Tamandua tetradactyla: one gene and its partner. The protein of the gene in region 2 purifies or fractionates together with the protein of the main gene of each other region. This does not show direct contact. Links are inferred from orthologs where the notes say so. Each region holds a gene or a part of one and is shown on either strand. Other genes may lie near its edges.

Region 1 (10,426 bases), on a different chromosome or scaffold from region 2:
ATATCATCACAATCGACTTTTTTTCCTTCCTTTTTTGTGAAAAGTAACATATATACAAAAAGAGCTATAAATTTAAAAAACAGCACCACAATTAGCCGTACAACATATTTCAGAGTTTGATGTGGATTACAGTTTCACAATTTTAGGTTTTTACTTCTAGTTTCTCTAAAATACTGGAGAGTACAGCCAACAGGGCGAGCAAACTCACTGCCCTCCCTCTCTCTACGTGGGACATGAGTTCCAGGGGTGTGGACCTCCCTGGCAATGTGGGACAGAAATCCTAGACTGAGCTGAGACTTAACATCAAGGGATTGAGAAAACCTTCTCGACCAAAAGGGGGAAGAGCAGAAATGAGACAAAGTAAAGTGTCAATGGCTAAGAGATTCCAAACAGAGTCATGAGGTTATCCTGGAGGTTATTCTTAAGTCACGAGGTTATCCTGGAGGTTATTCTTACGCATTAAATAGATATCACCTATTTAGTTAAGGTGTAAAGGAGAGGCTGGAGGGAACTGCCTGAAAATGTAGAGCTGTGCTCCAGTAGCCATGTTTCTTGAAGATGATTGTATTATGATATAGCTTTCACAATGTGACTGTGCGGTTGTGAAAACCTTGTGTCTGATGCTCCTTTTATCTACCTGATCAACAGATGAGTGGAACATATGGATTAAAAGTAAATAAATTTTAAAAAAGTAAATAAATAATAGGGGGAACAAATGTTAAAATAAATTTAGTAAATTGAAATGCTAGTGATCAACGAAAGGGAGGAGTATGGAGTATGGTATGTATGAGGTTTTTTCTGTTTGCTTTCTATTTCTTTTTCTGAATTGATGCAAATGTTCTGAGAAATGATCATGATGATGAATATACAACTATGTGATGATTTTGTGAGTTACTGATTATTTAACAAGAATGGAATGATCATATGGTAAGAATGTTTGTGTTTGTACTGGTTATGTTTCATAAAAAAATGATTATGGTGGAGAATACAGAACTATGTCATGATATTGTGAGCCATTGATTGTATATCATGTATGGACTGTGTGTTTGTGAAGATTTGTCAATAAAAATATTAAAATAAAATGAAATACTGGAGAGTAAAAGAGATATCAATTTAATGATTCAGCATTCGGATTCATTTGTTAAATCCTATCTTCTCTGTTCATTTGTTAAATCCTATTTCTCTGTATAACTCCACCATCACCTTTGATTTTCCATCCTTCTCTTTAGGGGTGTTTGGGCTATGGGAATTGTAAATTTTTCATATTGGAAGGATCTGTCACTAATATGGGGTAGGGAGATGGAACTATTTGATGTTCTAGAGAGGCTGGGCTAGGTTTCAGGACTTATCTGGACCAGGGACCCATCTGGAGGGTGTAGGTTTCTGGAAAGTTACTCTAGTACATGGAAAGTTTATGGAATCTTATATATTGCTCTAGGCATTCTTTAGGATTGGCTGGAATGGTTCTGGTTGGGGGTTGGCAGGTTATGATAGGTATCAATGTCTAATTGAAGCTTGCATAAGAGCCACCTCCAGAGTAGCATTTCGGCTCTATTTGAAGTCTCTCTGCCACTGATAGTTTATTAATTACACTTGTTTCCCCCTTTTTGGTCAGGATGGAATTGTTGTGCCTCATTTTTATCCATATGTTCTCTCTGTGTGACTCCCACTCCCACAGCTTCACTATCATCCATATGCTGACAACAGTTGCATCTGTAACTTTCATCTTGAGCTTGTGGTGCACGCTAGTCTTGTATTTTCAACAGTCCATTGGTTATCTCACTTAACATTTCTCTCGACCTTGAAATTCAACTTGTCAAAACTACTCTTCTAAAAGGTCCCCTTTTCTTATTTTCTAACACAGTTGCCCAGCCTAGAGAAATATTATGATCACATCTGCCTTTTTACTTTTCTTCACTCAGCACCATCCATATCTATTTCCTGTTACTTCAGCTTCCAGAATGCCTCTGGAATCTGGTCCCTGCTCTTCACTACTACCATTATTTTATTAAAGACCCTTATCATCTCTTAACTGAATGAGTTCAGGAGCTTTCTATAGCAAACACTTGTATTTTGGAGGCTCTTTGGTGTCTGAAGCAACTCCTTTTATTCAAGAAATCCACTATTATTGAATATATGTGGAAGGCAGGGTGCTACTTCCAACTATGGATGGCTAAGAGTCAATATTTTCTTTCCCTGACATCTGGAAGCTAGACTATTGGATGAAAAACAGCAACTTCAACTGGAAGTAACTGCTAATTGTCTCCCATTATTTGTTCTCTTTTCTTTTATAGATCTTCAAATTCTTAGGTGGGTTTATGACTGCCCAGAATAATGACTATATTTCTAGCATCACTTACAGCCATGCGTGGCCATGGACTAAGTTCTGGCAGGTGGAACTTAAGCTGATTTGAGCATTTTCCAAGATGTCTTCTTATGTGTGTATGTGCACACACACACACACACACACACACACACACATTCATCTGCCCAAAGCCCATCTCGAATGTCACTTTTCTGTGATGTCTTCCCTGAACGCCTACAGGGAGAAATAATTGTTTTTGATTTTGTGCTTCCACCATCCTTTTTCTCAGTCATGAATATAACTTCATCTTGTTTTGTAATCTTTAATTGTATCTGAATCTGTTTCTCCTGTATGACTCTGAGCAATCCTGTGTTATTAATGTGTATAATAACAGCACCCAGAATAGTATCTGACACATATTAGCAGCTCAAAACTGTTTGCTGAAAGAGGAAAGCAAAAAAGGGAACACTTTTGAAATTGTGGTTTGTGTGCTTATCAAAGAACTATATTTTTATCTAGTTATTTCACAGCTAAAGGAAATCCAGCATCAGAGAGGCTAAGATGACTTACCCAAGGTAATTTGACTTTCCTTGATCCCAGCTTCATTTTAACAGGTAAACCTAAGATCCTTTCTGGCTGAGTTCTTTTGAACCTGTTAGTTAAATGGTCAAATAGTAGAGAAATGACCAAAGATATTCAATTGAATGTAAAGTCAAGTTTCTTAAATCAAATTATACTGAAGGCTTCTGGTGCTAGTATCACTCCTGTTTGATGGCAAATGGATTCTATTGAGGAAGGAAACGATATAAGGAAATGATATAAATTGAAGAACTTTAGAGAAGAATATAATCTTTTTTTTAAAAGCATAACAGAAGTCTATTTTCTTTTAACAGTTTGATATATTAACTGAAAAAAAGGAACAAAGCAAATATAAAAGGGTGGAATGAAATGTAATTATAACTTAACAGTAAGTAGAATTGAAATTTATCAAAATTACATTTTGTAAGAATATAATCTTGATATCATCCTAGCCAGAGCAATGTCAAGTTTTAGAGAAGGAACACCTTAAGAAGCTGTGGAATTAAATGCCAAAGGAAGGAAAAGATTTCGCTCATTGCAAAAACCAGAGAAAATTGCAGATAAAAAGCAAATGAAAAGCATCTAGGTAGTAGACACTTCAGATTGTAAATAATTGTTAAAGTCTTTAAGACAATCATCATAAAAGCCTAACAATGTGATAGTGTCAAAGGCTGATAGACTAAAACTTTCAAGGCGACTGTAAGATTTGACTAGGAATTTTTTAAAGGAGTAATGAGGTAAGAAATATTAAGAGAGAATTGAAAATATCTTCATGCGTTTAAGTGATGGCGGGGTTGGGTTGGGGTGGGGGACTCCAGAATTTCTATATAGGTGGGAATTAAAAGTGGTGACTTAGCTTGAGAGAGTGTCCAGGGGGTTTATCTTGAGGATGAAGAAGCATATGATTTATATTTTATGAAACATATGAATAAACACATCAAGAATTTCTAAAAATGCTTTTACCTATGTTTTACCAAAGAATGAGAAAATGTCATTTGTCCATATCAAGGAATACAGTTTAAAATGTCCACTCCTTCTCTCTCATAAACTCCATGAGCCCACCCCCCTCCCTCCCTTCCCATCACAGACCTCTTGATATCACCTTGGCTTTGCTGGTCAGAAAAGTCTGAAAAACTGAGGCAGTGGCTGGAGAAAAGACTGGTATGATTTAGGAGAGAAACCAAAGACAAATTGCACACCTATCAAATAAATTTAGAATTAGAATATTTCAAGGGATTAGAAAATTTTCCCTTACTCATTAAGGGACAGTTTAATGGGGAAGTGGGTGGAGGAAAGGAAGATTTGTACCATGCCCTGAGACTCAGTAGACTAGAACCTTCTCAGACAGAGAGAGAGCTTTGGGAGATGAGCCTTTGCCCTTTTGGAAAGGGCCTCATCACTTTCTTTTAACAAAATGCAGAACATTTCCATGTCATATCCTGGATCATAACGACAAATCTGGTGTCCATAATATCTATCACAACAATAGAGGGCTGAATGCCAACACTGGGGTATGTATCAAACCAATACCCAAATGAGTACATCATTAAAAGAAGTATGTTTACTAAACAATGCATACCCAAGACATTGAATGTGGAAGTATTAGATAAATACAGGGTGTTATGGGTTTATTAAAGAAGGAGGTTCATTTCAGGAATCCAATTTAGAATTTTTAAGGCAAGGCAGGGGCTAAAAATACTTGGATCTTCAACCAAAACTTTTAGAGAGAATTCTGTTCTCTTTTAACACAGAAATGGGGGCTTTTTTTGGTACAGGATTTGACTAAGGAAAAAGCTTTTTTTCCCCTTTTCTGGCAAACCAGAGCCTCAATGAGCTTTCAGAGATAGGTACATTCTTATATGTGAATATAAGAATATTTCACAACAGTAATTTTCAGGCAGAAAAATTTCCCAATAATATTAGATGTAGTTTCACCCTCTGTAAATATTGTTGAATGACCAGAATCTAGAATTTGTAGGGAAGGAGTTTAAGATTCCACATTATGATCTTTCTTTCTTTTTTTTTTTTTTACGTGGGCAGGCACCAGGAAGGGAACCTGGATCTCTGGCATGTCAGGCGCGACCTCTGCCTGCTGAGCCACTGTGGCCCACCCCTATATTATGATTTTAAGTTTACGTCTTCCTAACTGAGCCCCTAGGTCTCATGGTGGGGTGCTAACTAAAGTGGCTACCTTTAGTTCCAAGAGACTGGGAAACCAGGCTAACCATTGCAATCATGGGTTAAATTTAAATTTAGTCAGAAGTAAATAATTTCTGTAAAAGACTGAGGAATGGAGATAGGAAAATATGACATTTGCAGAACATAATGGAGGAAAGTTGGTTCTGAAATCATGGGGGGTTGCTAATGGCTGAGTTGTAAAATTTTCACCAGCAAAGAGTAATGTTATTCTATGGATATTAATTTGTAGGACATTTCCTCTTGGTGCCTTTTATTCATCTCAATCATCAATGTTTCTTTAAATACCCATTGTGCACTATTCTGTACCTAGAATATGAAGAGTTTTGCATTAACTTTTCTTAAAAGAAGAAATGTTAATCAGCTTGCTAATAGTTTAAGACAAGTGAACAGAGATTTAAGGGATCTGTGCATTACTAAAGAAACAGAAGTGGGTGTAATCAGCATAAAAGTGGCTAAATTGTGAAACCATGCTAAGTGGTGTGTGTGGGGTGTAATGTAATAACACGTTGCACACGGTGCGCCTTTGGTCTGTGCACCTCAAAGTGCTTTGCAAACGTTAATTATGCATCACACTTACGAGGCGGCGAGGTAGGGAGGGGAGGGCTTGGACACTGCTGCCTAATCCAGAACTGAACTTCCGACTCTACTCAAGATGCACCAGTCAACCCTCTGTTGTGTTTCTTCACCCCCTTATGGCTGAATCCACCCACTGGTCTTAGTAGCTGTGAGGTCGAAGTTGTGACTACGTCTTCAGAGATAAGGGTTCAACAAGCCCCACCGGCGATGAGGTCGCTCCGGCAGTCAGAGGATGAAACTGGGCTGCCTGGTTTTCCCTTCGGAACCCACTTCCGGGATGCCTCCCCGGTGGGCATCGAGGATGCATGGAATTGTGTAGGAGCTGGGTGGAGGGTGGTCGTGGGCGTGGAGCCGTGCGGTGGCTGGGTGTCTGAAGATTCCTCGCCTCCAGGAGGCCGCGGTGCCGAACGCGCGGTGCCGGGCCAGGAGCTCACGCCGCGGGAGGAAGGAGCTTCCGCGCCGCGCGCCCACCCGCTGCCACACACGCTCGTCGCCCGGCCTCCTCTTTCCTTCTCTCCTCCGCACACACTCTCGGACACACACACACACACACACACACAAACACAGATACACCACACACACACACACACAGAAACATCCACAAGAGCCCCTCTCCCGGCGCCAGGCGGGGGCGGAGCAGAACAGGCGGGAGGAGGCAGGGAGGGAGGGAGGGAGCCAAAGGCGCGAAAACGGCGCGCAGGCGCGCCACGCTCCCCGAGGCGGAGCGCGCGGGGGTGAAACTGACACTTTGGGCCAGTCTCTATGGGGCCGCTCGTGGCCGCACGTCACCGCGCTCCCGGCACGTCACGCCGGCTCGACGCTCCCGGTACAAAGTGTAAGTTTCAATTTTTTTCCCCCGGTGCCACCGCTCCCGGGGTCGCGGCGACGAGCGGGAAGAGAGTGAGGGCGCAGGGTGGTCTGGCCAGGGCGGCCGGGACTCCCTACCCCCGCCGTCCTCGCGTGAGTGCGGGACCCGGGTGGCGGGCCCTCAGCCTCCGCGTCCTGCATCTCCGCCCCCAGCCCCGCGCGCGAGCGTGGACCGGGCGAGCCAGGTGCGGGGCGCCGGCCACCCCCACGCTGCAGGCGAAGGGCGGGTGCGCGCGGGCCGCGGGCGGCCGGGGCTGCCGGAGGGGAGGGAAGAGGATGCCCTGGGGCGGGAACCCGGAGAGGATGGAGAAGGGGGGTGTTGGGTGTTGAGACGCCTGAGTCGCGGGAGGATGGAGCTGGGGGATGGGGCGGAGGGCAGGGCGAGCAGCTGGTCCTGGAGGGAGGGGGCACCGGGTGGTCCGCGGGCGCCCGGCCCGAGAGGCGGTTGTGGGGCGGGCTTGGGTCGGGGCCGGCCGCCGGGCGCGGGGGGCGGGACCACAGCGGCGAGGGGACAGCCCGGGCCGGACTGGTCCCCGGCGGGCCGGCCCCTCGGCCCTGCCCCCGCCTCGCCTGCGTGTGGGCGCCGCGCGCAAGGCTCGGTGTCTCCTTGGGGCTCTTTCCTGGTGCTCTGTGTGCGCCGCACATGTGCAGTCGGTAAACCTTCCCCCACCCCGCACCCCCCACGCCGCCGCGCCGCGCCTCATTGTAGCCGCTGCAGTTGGTGGTGGGCTGCGGGGCTCGCCGCCGCCGTTCGCTGGGTGGGGGGGTGGGCGGCCGGGGGAGGAAGCTGCTCTCCAGGTGACTTGACCTCGGCTGTAGGATGTGGAATGGAAGAGAGGGGGTGCGGGTGGGGAGTAGGACGCGATTGGGCGGGAGAGGGCCCGGCCGAGGCGAGCGGGTGGTGGGGCTGTTGGGGGACTCGGCTCGTTGCCTGGGAGGGCACGGTGGGGGATCGGATCAGCCGCGGGGAGTCCCCGGGTTGGGGCAGGCGGGGCGGCAGGGCCGGAGCTAGGCCCTCAGGCCCCGGATAAGCATCGTCGCGCGCCCCTCGCCCGCCCGGGGACGCGGGGCCAACGGGGAGGGGGTCGGGGGGCGCCTGTTGCCGGGAGGTGCACCAGGCGCGGGTGGTGGCGGGCGGCTGGGTTGCAACTGCAGCCGGATCCGTCCCGGGCCCGAGCGCGCCGTCCGCGCTCGGGCCCGGGAGGCCGGATCCGCTCCGGCCTGCAGCGAGAGCCTTCGGGAGGGGACGGGGAGGGGCTGACCCTTCCACCGACCTGGTCCTTTCGGGAGCTCCGGGCCGAGGACTGCCGGTTCCGGTGGCGGGCGGGGGAAGGGAGGCTCCTCTCGGTGGAGGTGGCTCCTGAGGCCTAGTGACAGGTCAGGGACCCGGGCGGGCTGGGGGCGTGGAGGTTGAGGGTGGGGGGCTTCGAGCGGTTGGGACTGGCTAAGGTGCCTCTGGAAGCCCACCTGTCAGAGTTAACAGTCTAACCAGGCTTGAATCAGCCACTTGGAGACTGACCACGGTGGGAGAGAAGACCCTCTCAAGAGTTCTTTTGGGATGGATTTCCCTGCGTACTTGTCTTTGTGCAGGGACATAAAAGGGAGTTATATTCCTGTTGGGTGAATATGTGGCAGCTTAGGTTTGCGCATATGTGTGTGTGCCTCGGTTGGCGAAGGGTAGAGATATGTGAGATGAATGTACCTACTGGTATAATTAATGTTATAGGTGAATGCTTTAGAAATGTGAAGGTAATCCAGGCATGTGTGTTCAGGGGTTTTTACCCATTGCTTCTTTGGGTGATCTTGGGAAAAAGTTATGGTACAGTGGCAATGATTTTGGATAATGGAGTTTCTGCATCCTGGTTGTATATGGGATTGTCAATTTAAAGTATGTTTTCAGTTGCTGAAATGACTTTTAAAGTCGTAAGTATGAGTTTTGACTGTTCTATTTTCAGGATTGAGTAAGGGTATGCAATTAGGAAAGGAGGTTCTTGTTTCCTGGAAGCACAGTTGAAGTGGTGGTGGGGAAAATGTCTCTGTAAGATGTGATATTTTATTTACTGACTTCTTTTTTATTCTTATTCATTTCTTGTTTTTCCTTCTTTCTTTCTTTCTTTTTTTGTTTGCCAGAAAAATCATTGTTTCTTCTCTGGAGGGCGAACACTTAGAGAATTGATTTCACGGATCTGGTAACATGGCAAAAGATGTAAGTACATGTTATAAATACTTACCTAGCTTTAATAGTGAGAAGTAAGGAAGTACTAAATTCTTTGTAGTTTTCCCACTTTTTTGCAGAGTGACAGCACATAAACTACAATAGTGTTTGTTTTTAAACTTTTAAAGCAGATGAAACAAGATAAAGGTGAAAAAGAACAAAGAAATCTAGTAGCCTACGTGAAGATGTATGACTTCTCCCTTTGTGTTTTTTGTAATCATGAATGCCTGATGATAAATATTATGTGGTGCTTAAATGATATTAATTTCACTTTTTCTTAATCTTTTCAGACTGCATTAAATTTATAATTTTGAATATATTTATTAAGGCATTCCTTAATTAAATAGAGAGGGGGAATACAAAATTAAACGAGATGGAGAATACAAAATAGTTATGTCGTGGGAGCTCAGTAGTTGCTGGCTCTGTACCTTTTTTCTGATGCTCAGCAGAGAAGGGCGCTATTTACTTCGGATGAAAGTCCCTGCAGAGATCTGGAACTGGGGAGCATTGCTTATCATGAACAGAATGACCCTAAACTTAGGTTGTAAACAGTGTGTACCTGTTTTGTGTAGAGTGAAGGGAATTAATTCAACTTTGAACGTCAACGTGTTTTGGCTACTTTTCCCCCCAGAAGAATGAGATTTGGTTATTAACGAAATGCTGTGAAGAACGCTAGTTACTTTACCTCACTTTGTATCTGTTATGAAACTATAGAGTCATTCTGAAATTTTTTTTAACTTGTTTTAAGAAATTAGGTTTGAGATCTGAGACCATAGCCAGTTTTATTGGTCCATGCAGTTTTTTGCTACACTTTGTAAAATCAGTTAAAATCACCTAAACACCAACCATATTCCTTAGTGTTTCTTAGAATGCATTGTTTTGTAAGCATTAGTAAAAGTAAAATAAGCAAATAACATTAGTAAAAAGAAGGTGTTTATTTATTTACTTAAAATCGTAGTTGGAAGTACAACTCAGGCGTACTGCATCTGCCTAAAACACACAGTATGTAATAAAAATGTATTCATACCTGTTGAACCAAATAATAGATGTTAAGCTCTTTGCATTAGTTTAAAAATGTTTACTGACTTTTTAAAAAGTCTTACTGAATGCCTCGTGGTATGCCCCAAACTCTCACTAACAATTCTTTGTCTACTCATGTTCACCAGGATCCCTGTTTTCAAGCATTTCTGGTTTAATTTGGTACAGAGGATGTGTAAGGGGACTCTGTAATTTTTTCTTTTTAAGTTAAAGCCATAATCTGTATATGATGCAACATTGATTTTATCATCTCCAATTACATTTGTCAATGGCCATTTTACGTGCCGTAAAAGTGCAGGGCAGCAGGACATGTGGTATATACTCTAGAAACAGAATATTTAAATGCTCTTTTAAATGCTGATGCTGCACCTTAATATGTTGGAATATATTTTTGTGTGTTTTGTAGTTTCAAGGAACAGACTTTATTTTTGACTTTATTAAGCACACTTGGATACTTCATTGATGATGTGCTAGAAATGAGAGGAGAGGGAGAGACTTCTTGCTCTCGAAGCCATCAATTCTGCATTGATTTAATTTGGACCCTCCTTCCATGTACCAGATACAGTGTTAGACTCTGGGAATGTAGAGATAAATGCATCAAGGCTTCTGCTCTCTAAGTTGCAGGGAAAGATTCAGACAGTTTACTC
Region 2 (11,033 bases):
AGCCTCCAAGTTGAAGACAGAAAGCAATCATGACGTGAACAACATTGAAGAAATTCGATATAGTTGGTTTCTTTGAGGTTTCTTCAAAATGTGAATTCTATATAGTTTACTCCCATTTCATAGAAACTGAAATAATTCATTCCTTTTAGCAACAATCACATCCTAACCATAACACTGTATTTAGAGTAAACAAATTTTTTTTAATGCAGAAATTTCACCTCTTTGGCTGACACATAAAGGAAAGATTTATTAATACTACCTCATATACAGAATTTGGTTCAGTTCTAAGTGTTGCTGATTTGACAAGACTCTAAAATTTTACAGAAGAAACAAAGAAATATCTATCTTGCTCACCATTAAATGTCTAGTACCTAGCTCAGGCCTTGAAAAAGTAAAATACTCAATAAACATTTGCCGAATACTAAATGTCGAAGGGGTTGAAATGAGATACGAACCCAGGTTCCCAGACTCCTTCATCCAATATCTACTGCTCTTTCTACTGTATGAAACCTTTTCACAGTTCTCTAAAATATCACCTATGAGGAATCTAAAGGAAAATTTGCCCCAAGAAAACAGGCAAAGAGGAAATCATACTTGCAAGCCTATTATGTACCAGGCATTTTATTTTATAGGTTCTTACTTTGACCATAGTTCAAAACCAAACCAAATAACTTTATCACTTTCATTTTCAAATGCATGTTACCTGAATTAAGCAATGAAATGATTTTCCAATTATATACAACGAACTGATAATAAGATACTAGTCTAAAGCAATCACCATACATGATTACTGTCCTTGCTAAGTATTTCTTTTTCTCTGATAATTCAGAATGGTTCATTTCCCAATGTTCCTTAGGTTTACATCTATGACACTGATTACCGTATAAGAAATTAAGATTTGTAGCACCCATGACAATCATTTAGGACCACAGATTTTTCTTTTTTACTTTTTTCTGTCAGTTTGATATTTATCACATTTCTCTCACAAAAGCACGATGCAGAAAACATCAGGTATTTGAGCTATCTAGTTATTGAGGTTCTGGTTTCATAAAAAGTTTAACAGATCAAATAAACTCATTAAGCCCAGCAAGCACAAAAATTGAAATTCAATCATAGGCACATAAATATAAAGAATATAACATCAATTTATTGGTTAAGGAATCGAATCACATTTTATTTTGAAATACATACTATGAATGCAAGCTCATTTCATTCCATATACTGTTATTCTGAACATGACCTACCAGGGATATAGACAAAGGAAATGATCTTCTGTTTAAAAGGATTTGAGCCAGATATTCTTAAAAACAAAAGGTCAATAAAGACTTTGATGGGGAATGATGAATTCATTTTTCTCTAGAGATTTAAAGAAAAGATTTTCAAATGTCTAGGATGGCTTAGACTTGGCCTCACTTTTGGAGACTGAGACAGAATCAGTTTAAAGGTCAGGTTGACCCAAGGGATTCAAATCCTGTGTGTCAGTCACACAAATCATTAGCAAACTACATCCTTCTGTACTGCAGCTACCTAATCCTTGCTTTGGTACTATGCAGCCGTTCCCTTCAAATTAACCTAATTACTAATTAATGTCAGTAGAGAATTATTTATTCCAACCACTCCAACTTTTGCTTCTCAATGTATGCTACAATCCTGTTTCCTAGTATCACCAGAGAGGAAAATATTTTGTGGTACAATCAATATCTGTCCTATTAACAATGTCCTGTTCTATTGTTCCATCCAAACATGGATTCCACTCTAAATTTCAGAAACAACAGTAGGAAAATAAAAGATAATAAAGAAATTAGAGCTCATAGGTTTAACTTAGGGCCAAAATCAAAAGAGAAGAGACAATTCAAGAGAGGAAGGAAGAAGCTGAGAGGATCGCAGTGTAGAAGAACACTTACTTTTAGGAACAGAGTGTCCCTTAGACTTCTGGTGAGTTGCCCAGAGCCTCTTCAGTTTCAATCCAAATGACAATGCTTCTCTGAGTCCTCCTCAAGTAATGTTTCGACCACTAAAAATTGGATCTACAAGAGCTCAGAAGTACCGGTAAAAAAATGTCAGGGGCCCTCATGTGGGCCTCATGCCTCTTTTAAACTAGGCCCACTTCTCTGTCCTGGGCCAACTTCCCTGTGCACTATATTCCTTCTTCTTCCAGGTGCCAGGTATTCAGCCTGTTTCTTCTCTTCTGAGCTGCCACCACCTACTCTATTTCTCAGGGTTTCTCTAACCCCAAGACTGGCTGTGGAGTAGTAGGACACCAGCTTCCCCCCTTCCTTGCTGTCCCTGCAAATAAACATATAGGCTCTTCTAGTTTCAGTATTTTTCTAATGGCTAAAAGAAAATAGAGAGGGAACAACAAAAAGCAACAATATAGTACCAGAGATTAAGATTATAATAATTGTTTCCACTTTAAAATTCCTGCCTCCAAAAAAAATTTTTTTTCTAAGAATTGCTTATAAGCATTTAAAATAGTATAAAATGCTTTCATAGATATACAAATATAATCTAAGCTAACTCCAACCTATTTACCCATAGAGATACTCTACTTTTCAAAATACTTAAATCACGGGTCCAAAAGTGGTTACTATGTTCATTTTAGCAAATTGGTACTTTTCTATTTTTGAACTTTTCTGTTGTTTTAGTTCCTTAAATTTAGCAGTAGATATTTGAAAGTGTCCTTTATAAAGGATATCGTGAAAATGTTAAATATACTGTATCCACTGTAAAAGGAATATGCAAAAAGCATTTCATGATTTACAAAAAAGGCACATAAAAAAAGTTAACTTCACTGAGAAAAACCTTAAAAATCTAAACTTTTGTTTAAACATGTTTAAAATTTAAACATTTATCTCCACGTTAGAATTTTTTAATAAAATGCTATAAACGGTGTTTAAAAATCAGGGTATCAGGCAGGCCAAGGGTGGCTCAGCAGGCAGATTTCTTGCCTGCCATATCAGACACACAGGTTCGATTCCTGGTGCCTGCCCACGTGCAGAAAAAAAAAAAAAATCTGGATATCTCATTTTTAGAATCTAATCCTGATTGAATATTTAAATCCAATGTCAACATTATTTAGGCCCTCTTTTTTGCAGCATTAGTATATTTATTACTGTGATAATTTAATCACTAACAGACTGAAATCAAAATACAAATATTATCTAAATATTAAGCCATAAATCAGAGGACTGAATTAAACTGAATTAATTGAAAGGCAACCTTTCTGTAAAAGCAAAGGAACTTTGTAAGTAAGAGCTGGTGACAAGAATGTCATTAACTGACTACCCCGGATGATTTTCTTTATCCACTTAATTCACTTATGTAGCTTTTTAAAAGACAGAATTATTACATTGTAAGCCTACAAAACAGCGTTAAAACTGAAAACAGGCAGAGAACATTTCATCTCATTTTAACGTCTAATTGATTGCCATTTAATCGAAGTAAAGATATTCAGATAATTTCAGTAAAAATGCGTTTCTATTGATTGGCTCAGCTCCAACTACTTATCTATAAAATATTAGAGAAGTGGAATAAAAACACCAAACAAACCTTGATCTGACCCTTCCAGGCACTCATTTATAAAAAAAGAAATCTGATCTACTGTGCATTCTACAATCAGACACTTTTTTTTTCTTAAGGAACGAAATTAAATTACACCCTTTGCTCCTAAATTGGATTTCATGGTTTTTCCTTGATCCCCACACACTAACACAACAATGCGGCCAACATTATTATATCCGGGGGAAGGGAGGAGGGCATTACACTCTGCGATACGAATTAAATCGCAGTAGCTAATGTCTCGCTTAAATAATTTATTCTCTCTTGGCAATAAAAAACGTTGCAGCCTCTTCAATTACCCCACACCGCAAACCATCACTTGGGTCGCGATCAATCTGACCCAATTCCTATCGCGGCCACCACCTCAGTCTCGCCTCCTCTTGCCCGGTCTGCGAATGTCACGGGAAGGGGCGGCAGCCGCAGGGTCGTCCTCTGCGCCGCGATCAGTCAGCCGGCCGCGCGCGGGGCAGGACTCACCGGGTGGAGGTGCCCTTCCGCACATCGCACATCATGCACTTGAAGGCCTCGGCACTGTTCCGGAAGGTGCAGACGCTACAGTCCCAGTAACCCTCATCCGAGGACGGCTTCGGCTGCCGCTTCGGCCTGCAGGACACAACCCGGACACGACGCGGCGCAGGGTCACCAACAGGCCGCGCCCGCCGCCCCCGCTCCGCGGCCGCCCCCGCCCCGCCCCCCGGCCCCAATTCTGCGACCCCCCCAGCCCGCCCGCCAGCGGCGCGCAGCGCTTCGGCTCCGAGAGGGAAGAGGAGTGGGAGTCAAGAGCCGGGAAGGCGCGAGCGCCGCTGCAGCCGCCGCCGCTGACACAGGGGGTTGCCTCTCCGGCCGCCGCCGCCATCGCGGCTCCATTGTGGGGCGGCCGGCGCCAGCCCCTCACGCGCCAGCGCTCGTGGAGCAGCGGCGCCGCCCCCGTTCTCGTCCGGGTGCCCGGGCGGCGAACGAGGGGGCCCGCCCCAGCCCGGCACGAGGGCGCTGCCGCCGGCACAATCCGGGCCCCGGGGCCTTGGCGCTCTTACCTGGTGGGGCTCTTCTTGTCTCCCATGGCTTGGCTATCAGTGCACGCCGAGAGTCGCCGCCGCGGCAGCTCTGTTTATCAATAAGAAAGATAATAAGCCGGGCGGAAGCGGGCGGGGAAGGGAGGAGGGAGGGGGCGGGGAAGGCCGCACCGCCGAGCTGGGAAGCTGCCGCCGGATCCCACGCAGCCTCCAGCTGTCGGGGAAACTCCTGCCTGGGAGCACGTGACCCGCGCGCGCCAACCAGAGGCCGCGCCGGAGACTTCAAACGCTGCCAGCGCGGCCCAGCACCCGCGGCGAGTTCGCTGGCTGCGGGCGTTGCGGGGGCGGCCGCCGCAGCTTTAGGCGGCGTCGCAGCTTCTCGGTCCTGTTCCAGGCGCTTCCCTTCGGCATCCCGGCTGGCTGTGGATGTCGCGTGATGTAGATCCCCTCTGACCCTTTGAAGCGTCTGTCCAGCCGGCCAGAGGAGATGTTCCGTCATCCCGCTCAAAGCCTGGTCAAAGGTGGGGCTAGCCTTCTCGAGGTCAGCCCGGCTCGGGACCACGAGTGCCCTGCCGGGCGGCCCTTAGCCACTCAACACCCCTCCCCAAAGGATACCTGAAGGCAGGCAGGAACCAACAGTGAGCGCCATTGCTAGGTGTCTTAAAAACAGTCTGGTTTAATCTACGCAAATGCTCGTAAGGATTGTTGCTCTTAGTTTAAAGGAAGAAACCGAGGTTCAGGAGAGGTTTGGTGACGTCCTCTAGGTTACATAATTAGAAAATGGCAAAAACAGGACTCTAACCTGTTTTGATTCCAAACGCGCTTCTTTGGCCGTAGAGACCTCTGCAGGAGATGCTCTTAAAAGAAAACGAATACTTATAAGCCATGTTTTAAGATAATAATATGCCTGGAACGTTGTTGCCTAAGAAGGGAACGATGTTGCCTGTTCACGTATTCTCCCAGAGTCTCATTACCTCAAATACTGAAGGACCTTTTCACCTTGTGAAAACAAGATAGATTCGAGCAACAGCTGTTTAACTAGCGGTCTCTAAAGCTCTAGCCCTGCCATCCCATGTATTCAGTAAATCACAACCAGATTAATTATAAAAGGCTGTTAACAAGGCGGCCCACGGTGGCTCAGCAGCAGGGTTCTCGCCTGCCATGCCGGAGACCTGGTTAGATTCCTGGTGCCTGCCCATGAAAAAAAAAAAAAAAAAAAGGCTATTAAAATTGTGCCACAGCTCTGCTCAAAAACCTAACAGGTTCCAAACTCTGCCAGGCCTTTCTCAAATTTCCCTTAACTCCCCATCTTTCTTCAGAGAAGTTGCCTTCTAGCAAACACTGATAGGTTATATTCAATATTTCCCTTCCCAAAACTCTCCCTTCGTGCACATTTTACGTCTACACTGAATATTTCCTTCTTTCCTCTGTGCCTGTGCTATTTCTGCCCATTTTTCTAGGTTCACTTCAATAGGATAATATTATATAAAATGATTATAAATATATGAAATAATATTATAGTTAGTAGGGTCTTAATATAGAAGAAACACGCTGGCGTGCCCTCTCACACATACACAGAACAGTACAGAGTCCTGGGTTCTCGGCTTGGTTCACTGTTCCTTAACCAATGAGCCTTGGAAAACTTGATTAATTTCTGTAATTCTCAACTGCATCTGCAAAATGACAGCTATATTTATGAGGTTATTGTGGGATTAAAAATTATTTAAAAAAAAACAAAACAATTTTGAGCACCACGTTGCCAGGCACTTTGCAAATCTTTTTACATAGATGCATACTTTAAAGAGCTCAAAGTGCTATGAAATGTTAGTTCTCACCATCTAGTTGCATACCTTCGTTTTAAAGACAAGGAGTTTAGGGCCTGGGTTAAATGGCTTCTCTTTAATGAATTTTTCAAGTTTAGCACTCAGATATCCTATTAGTCTCCCACTAAGCTATGCTTTCTGATTAACCATATCAGTCCAATTTACAGCGGTCTCTGAACTTGTAGCACCATTTTTTCTTTTTGCAAGTGTTGCTTCTCTCAACTCAGACTGTTTCACCCTAGAAGGCGAGACTATGATTGAGGAAAGCATGGATCTAAGGCCTAGTTTTCTCAGCCTTATAGTTATATAAGAGATAGTTACATCTCTCAGTAATACAGCAGTAAACACAGTTAGGTTTCAGTTTTATTTCCATCTGTAAAATGAAGTTAAAACAATTATAACAATTCAGGTCCCTTCCAATCCTAAGGCATTATGTTTTAAATTCTTCAACTGGATGGATCATCAAAAAGATTGACTAGAATCGGTCTGCTTGTAAAAGGGATGCAAAATGTATTTTTGAATAAATAGAAAACTAAATCAGGCACTCTAAAAACGCTCCATGCTGTAAATCACCATTTTGCTAGAATATAAACTCCATCACTAGAAATTAAACTTCACCTCTAAATCGTAAGCTCAGAAAGGGCAGGCACTTTTATTTGTTGTCTTCGTCACTGCATCCCTAGTTCTAGAAGTCTGGCAGGTAATAAGCACTCAATAACTAGTCTGAGAATGAATAAATTCACCTGTGTCACAGTTCTTGAATAAAGTGTTTTTTCATACTGGTTTCACAGCCTTTTAAGCATATTAGCATGCAGTAGATGCTCAGTAAATGCTGGTGTTTATAACAAGTCTGCAAACTGAAATTTACAATTTTGCAAGACAGTTCTTATGGAAGAACGAGGAATTAGACCCAGTTTCTGTGGAGTGCAAAAGCAAATGCCTTGCAATCTACTAGCTGCCTACCATTTACTGGGTACATCTCTTTTAAAAATTCCTTCCTATTTTAAGCTTACATGGAGACACCAGTACAAGGAGCACCTCCTCCTACTTCACCACAAAAGTCACACCATTTTTCCTGAAATGTTTTCCCTACTATCTGGAAGAATGACCCAGGTTTAGATGACTCTTTGATACAATAACAAAGTTCCATCCTTTAGAAATGCAGTTCACTGGCATCACTTGTAAAGTGACATGAGTACTTTAACAATACTTTTAACAGTTTGGCAATAAAGTTCTGATATTTTCTAATGAAATTCTTTAACAATTTTAAAGAAATTAAAAGGTCATCGCTATAATAATATTCATTTCCATTCTAATACGATTCCTAGAATTGGAGAGACTGGAGAAGTTTCTGAAACTGCATGGCTTCACATGCACAGGTACACAGTAATATATTGTCTGTGGAGGTGTCAAAAAAGATCGAGAACTTCTGTCTTAGTTCAAGAGATTGACGGTAGGATCCCTGAGAACCCAGGCTCTTCTGCTTAGCCCTGAGTTTATGTCTATGAGGCAAACACAACAATTAAAAAAATATACAAAAAACTAAGCTTTAAAGATGAGTATAGTTATTAGACAACAGAGGTTGCCTGAAATGAGGAGTGCCATCTTTGTTTGTTTATCAACTGGAATTTGAGAGAAAAGAGCGTGACTTGTGACTAAGGGAGAAGCTGAACCACAAACCTTCCCTGAGAATAGAATGCAAAATGAAGAAAGTCAGTAATAAGCCACAATTGTAAAACCAATCACATTTTAAAAGGTTGTTTGGTTTTTGTTTGTTCAATCAGTTGTTTGTTTGGTTTTTGCAAAATGAAAATACCTTTACTGATTTTGCTGGTTATAAAAGTTATATGTTGCCAGCATAAAAACTTCACTGAAGACTCTTGTGTGTGTGTGTGTGTGTGTGTGTGTGTGTGTGTGTGTGTGTGTGTGCATGTGCACATAAGGTTGACTGGCTTATTTTTTTTAATAGATTTATCTTTTAGAGCAATTTTAAGTTTACAGAAAAATTGCAGAATACAGAGAGTTCCAATATACTCTCTCTCCTCCACGCACGCAGTTTCTCCTGTTATTAACATATTGCATTAGTTAGACATTTGTTATAACTTACAAACCAGCATTGATACATTATTAACGAGAGACCATAGTTCCCTCTTTGTTCTACATTTTTATTGGTTCAAGCACATAATGTCATGTATCCACAATTACAGTATCAAACAGAATAGTTTTACTGCTCCAAAAATACCTCTTACTCCACCTTTTTATCCCACCCCACCCCCCACTCACCCCAGCCCCAAGCAACCACTGATCTTCGTTTGCTATCTGCCAGAATGCAATATACCAGAAACAGAATGACTTTTTAAAAGGGGAATTAATTAAATTGCTAGTTTACAGTTCTAAGGCCAAGAAAATGTCCCAATTAAAACAAATCTATAGAAATGTCTTATCAGGCATCCAGGGAAAGATACCTTCGCTAAAGAAGGCGATGATGTTCAACATTTCTCTCAGCTGGAAGGGCACACGGCAAACACAGATCATCTGCTAGCTCTCTCTCCTGGCTTCTGGTTTCATGAAGCTCCCTGGGAGGCATTTTCTTTCTTCATCTCCAAAGGTTGCTGGCACGTGGATTCTCTGCTTCATGGTCCTGCAGCATTCTTTGCTCTCTCCGAATCTCCTCCTTCTCCAAAATGTTTCCCTTTTCATAAGATTCTGGTAAACTAATCAAGACCCACCCAAATGGGTGGAGACATGTCGTCACCTAATCCAGTTCAACAACCAGTCTTGATTAAATCACATCTCCAGGGAGATGATCTAATTACAGTTTCAAACATACAATACTGAATAGGGATTAGAAGAAACGGCTGCCTTTACAAAACGGGATTAGGTTTAAAACATGGCTTTTCTAGGGTACATACATCCTTTCAAACCAGCACATATAGTTTTATCTTTTTGAGACTATCATAAGGTGTAATCATATAGTATGTAGCCTTCACAGACTTTCTTTTACTTAGCAATATTCATTTTTTTCATGACTTGATAGCCCTTTTTTAAAAAGTCACTGAATAATACTCCATTTTATCAATGTACTAAAGTTTTTTTATTCATTCACCTACTGAAAAACATTTTATTGCTTTCAAATTTTGGAAAGTATGAGTAAAGATGCTATAAACATTCATGTGCAGATGCTTGTGTGGACGTAAAGTTTCAACTCATTTGGGTAAATACCTAGGAACTCAATTGCTAGATTATATGATAAGCCTAGGTTTATCTTTGTAAGAAACTGCCAAACTGCTGTCCAAAAGGGCTAAGCCATTTTCGTTTTGCCACCGGTAATGAAAGTTCCTGTTGCTACAACCCTTGGCCAGCATTTGGTAGTGTCAGTGTTTTGAATTTTAGCCATTCTAACAGGAAATTGTGGTATCTCATGGTTGTTGTTTTAATTTGCAATTCCTTAATAACAATGTTTAGTGTCTTTACATCTTTGATGATGTTTCTGTTCAGATCTTTCGCCTATTTTTAAATTGGGTAGTTTGTTTTCTTATTGTTACAATGTAAGAGTTCTTTGTATGTTCTGGATACAAATCTTTATCAGATATCTTTTTGCAAATATCTTTTTGCAAATATTTTCTTACAGTCTGTGACTTATCTTTTCATTCTCTTAACAGTGTCATTTAAAGAGCAGAAGTTTTTAAATTTTAATGAAGTCCAACTTATTAATTTTTTCTTTTATGGAGCATGCTATTGGAGTTGTATCTAAAAAGTCATTGCCAGAGGGGAATGCCAAGATGGCGGCTTAGCGAAGTGTGGGACTTAGTTTGTCCTCCAGTACAGCTACTAAATAGCCAGGAACAGTACAGAACAACTCCTAGGGACATGTCAGTGCCCCGACACACAGCATACCCCAGTCTGGACCAGCTGGACCAGCTGCAAGCCCCCCAGAACCATGAATTCCCCAAGCCGTGGCAGCCGGTCCCCCTCCCCCACAGGCTGCTTCCCAGAGGGGAAAGGAAAGGGACTTTACCAGCAGCAGGGGCTGAGCACAACCAAGCTCCAATTGTGGAATTAATTAACAAGTTCTGACTACTAAAAATAGGCCCCCAGCTCAGCTGAATCTGGTCAAAGCGGAGGATGCTGATTTTTGCCCCGGCACCGAGGGGGCAGGGCTGACAGAAAAAGAAAAAAGAAAGAAAGAAACAGAGGTTTTTTTGGATCAGATAGTACCTAATACTTGAAAGGGTCTGGGCTCTGAAGGAAAGGAGCGGTCACGTAGGATCTGAAGGTACACAAAGCAACATACAACTTATTCTCTTGATTGGCAAACCTGAAGAATGGGGGTCCTGCTCCAAGAAGGATTTTTCTCTTTTTTTGCTTTTTGTGGCTGTGTTTCTAAAAGGCTACACTGTCTTTGGATACAGCTGCAAGGCTTCTCAGGCTGCAACTGCCCCAGGCATAGACAGCAACAAGCTTGTTGGAGAGCTTGTCTGGAGCCTGTGCCTTTACCAGGAGAGGGGTGGGGCCCAGCTCAGGTGGATTCCCTGACTCAAGGAATTCAGACCCCAGGGTTTGGAAAATTGAAGCGATTAAATCCAGCCTACAACCTCTCCTCTGTCTCCACTACGCCCCCAGCATGAGATTCAGCTGA

What was found. The genes of interacting proteins can lie anywhere in the genome.
Region 1: the proteins of YAF2 (region 2) and TFDP1 purify together in Homo sapiens (affinity purification with mass spectrometry; 3 studies listed by BioGRID and IntAct, counting the BioPlex papers as one, with this or other methods). This does not show direct contact. The link is inferred for Tamandua tetradactyla from reciprocal best matches to the Homo sapiens genes YAF2 and TFDP1.

What each region holds. Positions count from the first base shown.
Region 1 is NC_135330.1:184,322,431-184,332,856, forward strand, and holds the start of TFDP1 (transcription factor Dp-1), read left to right. Parts: upstream 1-6,374; 5' UTR 6,375-6,494; intron 6,495-6,504; exon of another isoform or gene 6,505-6,619; intron 6,620-6,688; exon of another isoform or gene 6,689-6,711; intron 6,712-7,051; exon of another isoform or gene 7,052-7,180; intron 7,181-7,302; exon of another isoform or gene 7,303-7,324; intron 7,325-7,766; exon of another isoform or gene 7,767-7,903; intron 7,904-8,656; 5' UTR 8,657-8,720; coding exon 8,721-8,732; intron 8,733-10,426. UniProt on the Homo sapiens protein: Can stimulate E2F-dependent transcription.
Region 2 is NC_135333.1:101,733,238-101,744,270, forward strand, and holds the start of YAF2 (YY1-associated factor 2), read right to left. Parts: upstream 4,798-11,033; 5' UTR 4,619-4,797; coding exon 4,593-4,618; intron 4,162-4,592; coding exon 4,036-4,161; intron 2,287-4,035; exon of another isoform or gene 1,905-2,286; intron 1-1,904. UniProt on the Homo sapiens protein: Binds to MYC and inhibits MYC-mediated transactivation. Also binds to MYCN and enhances MYCN-dependent transcriptional activation. Increases calpain 2-mediated proteolysis of YY1 in vitro.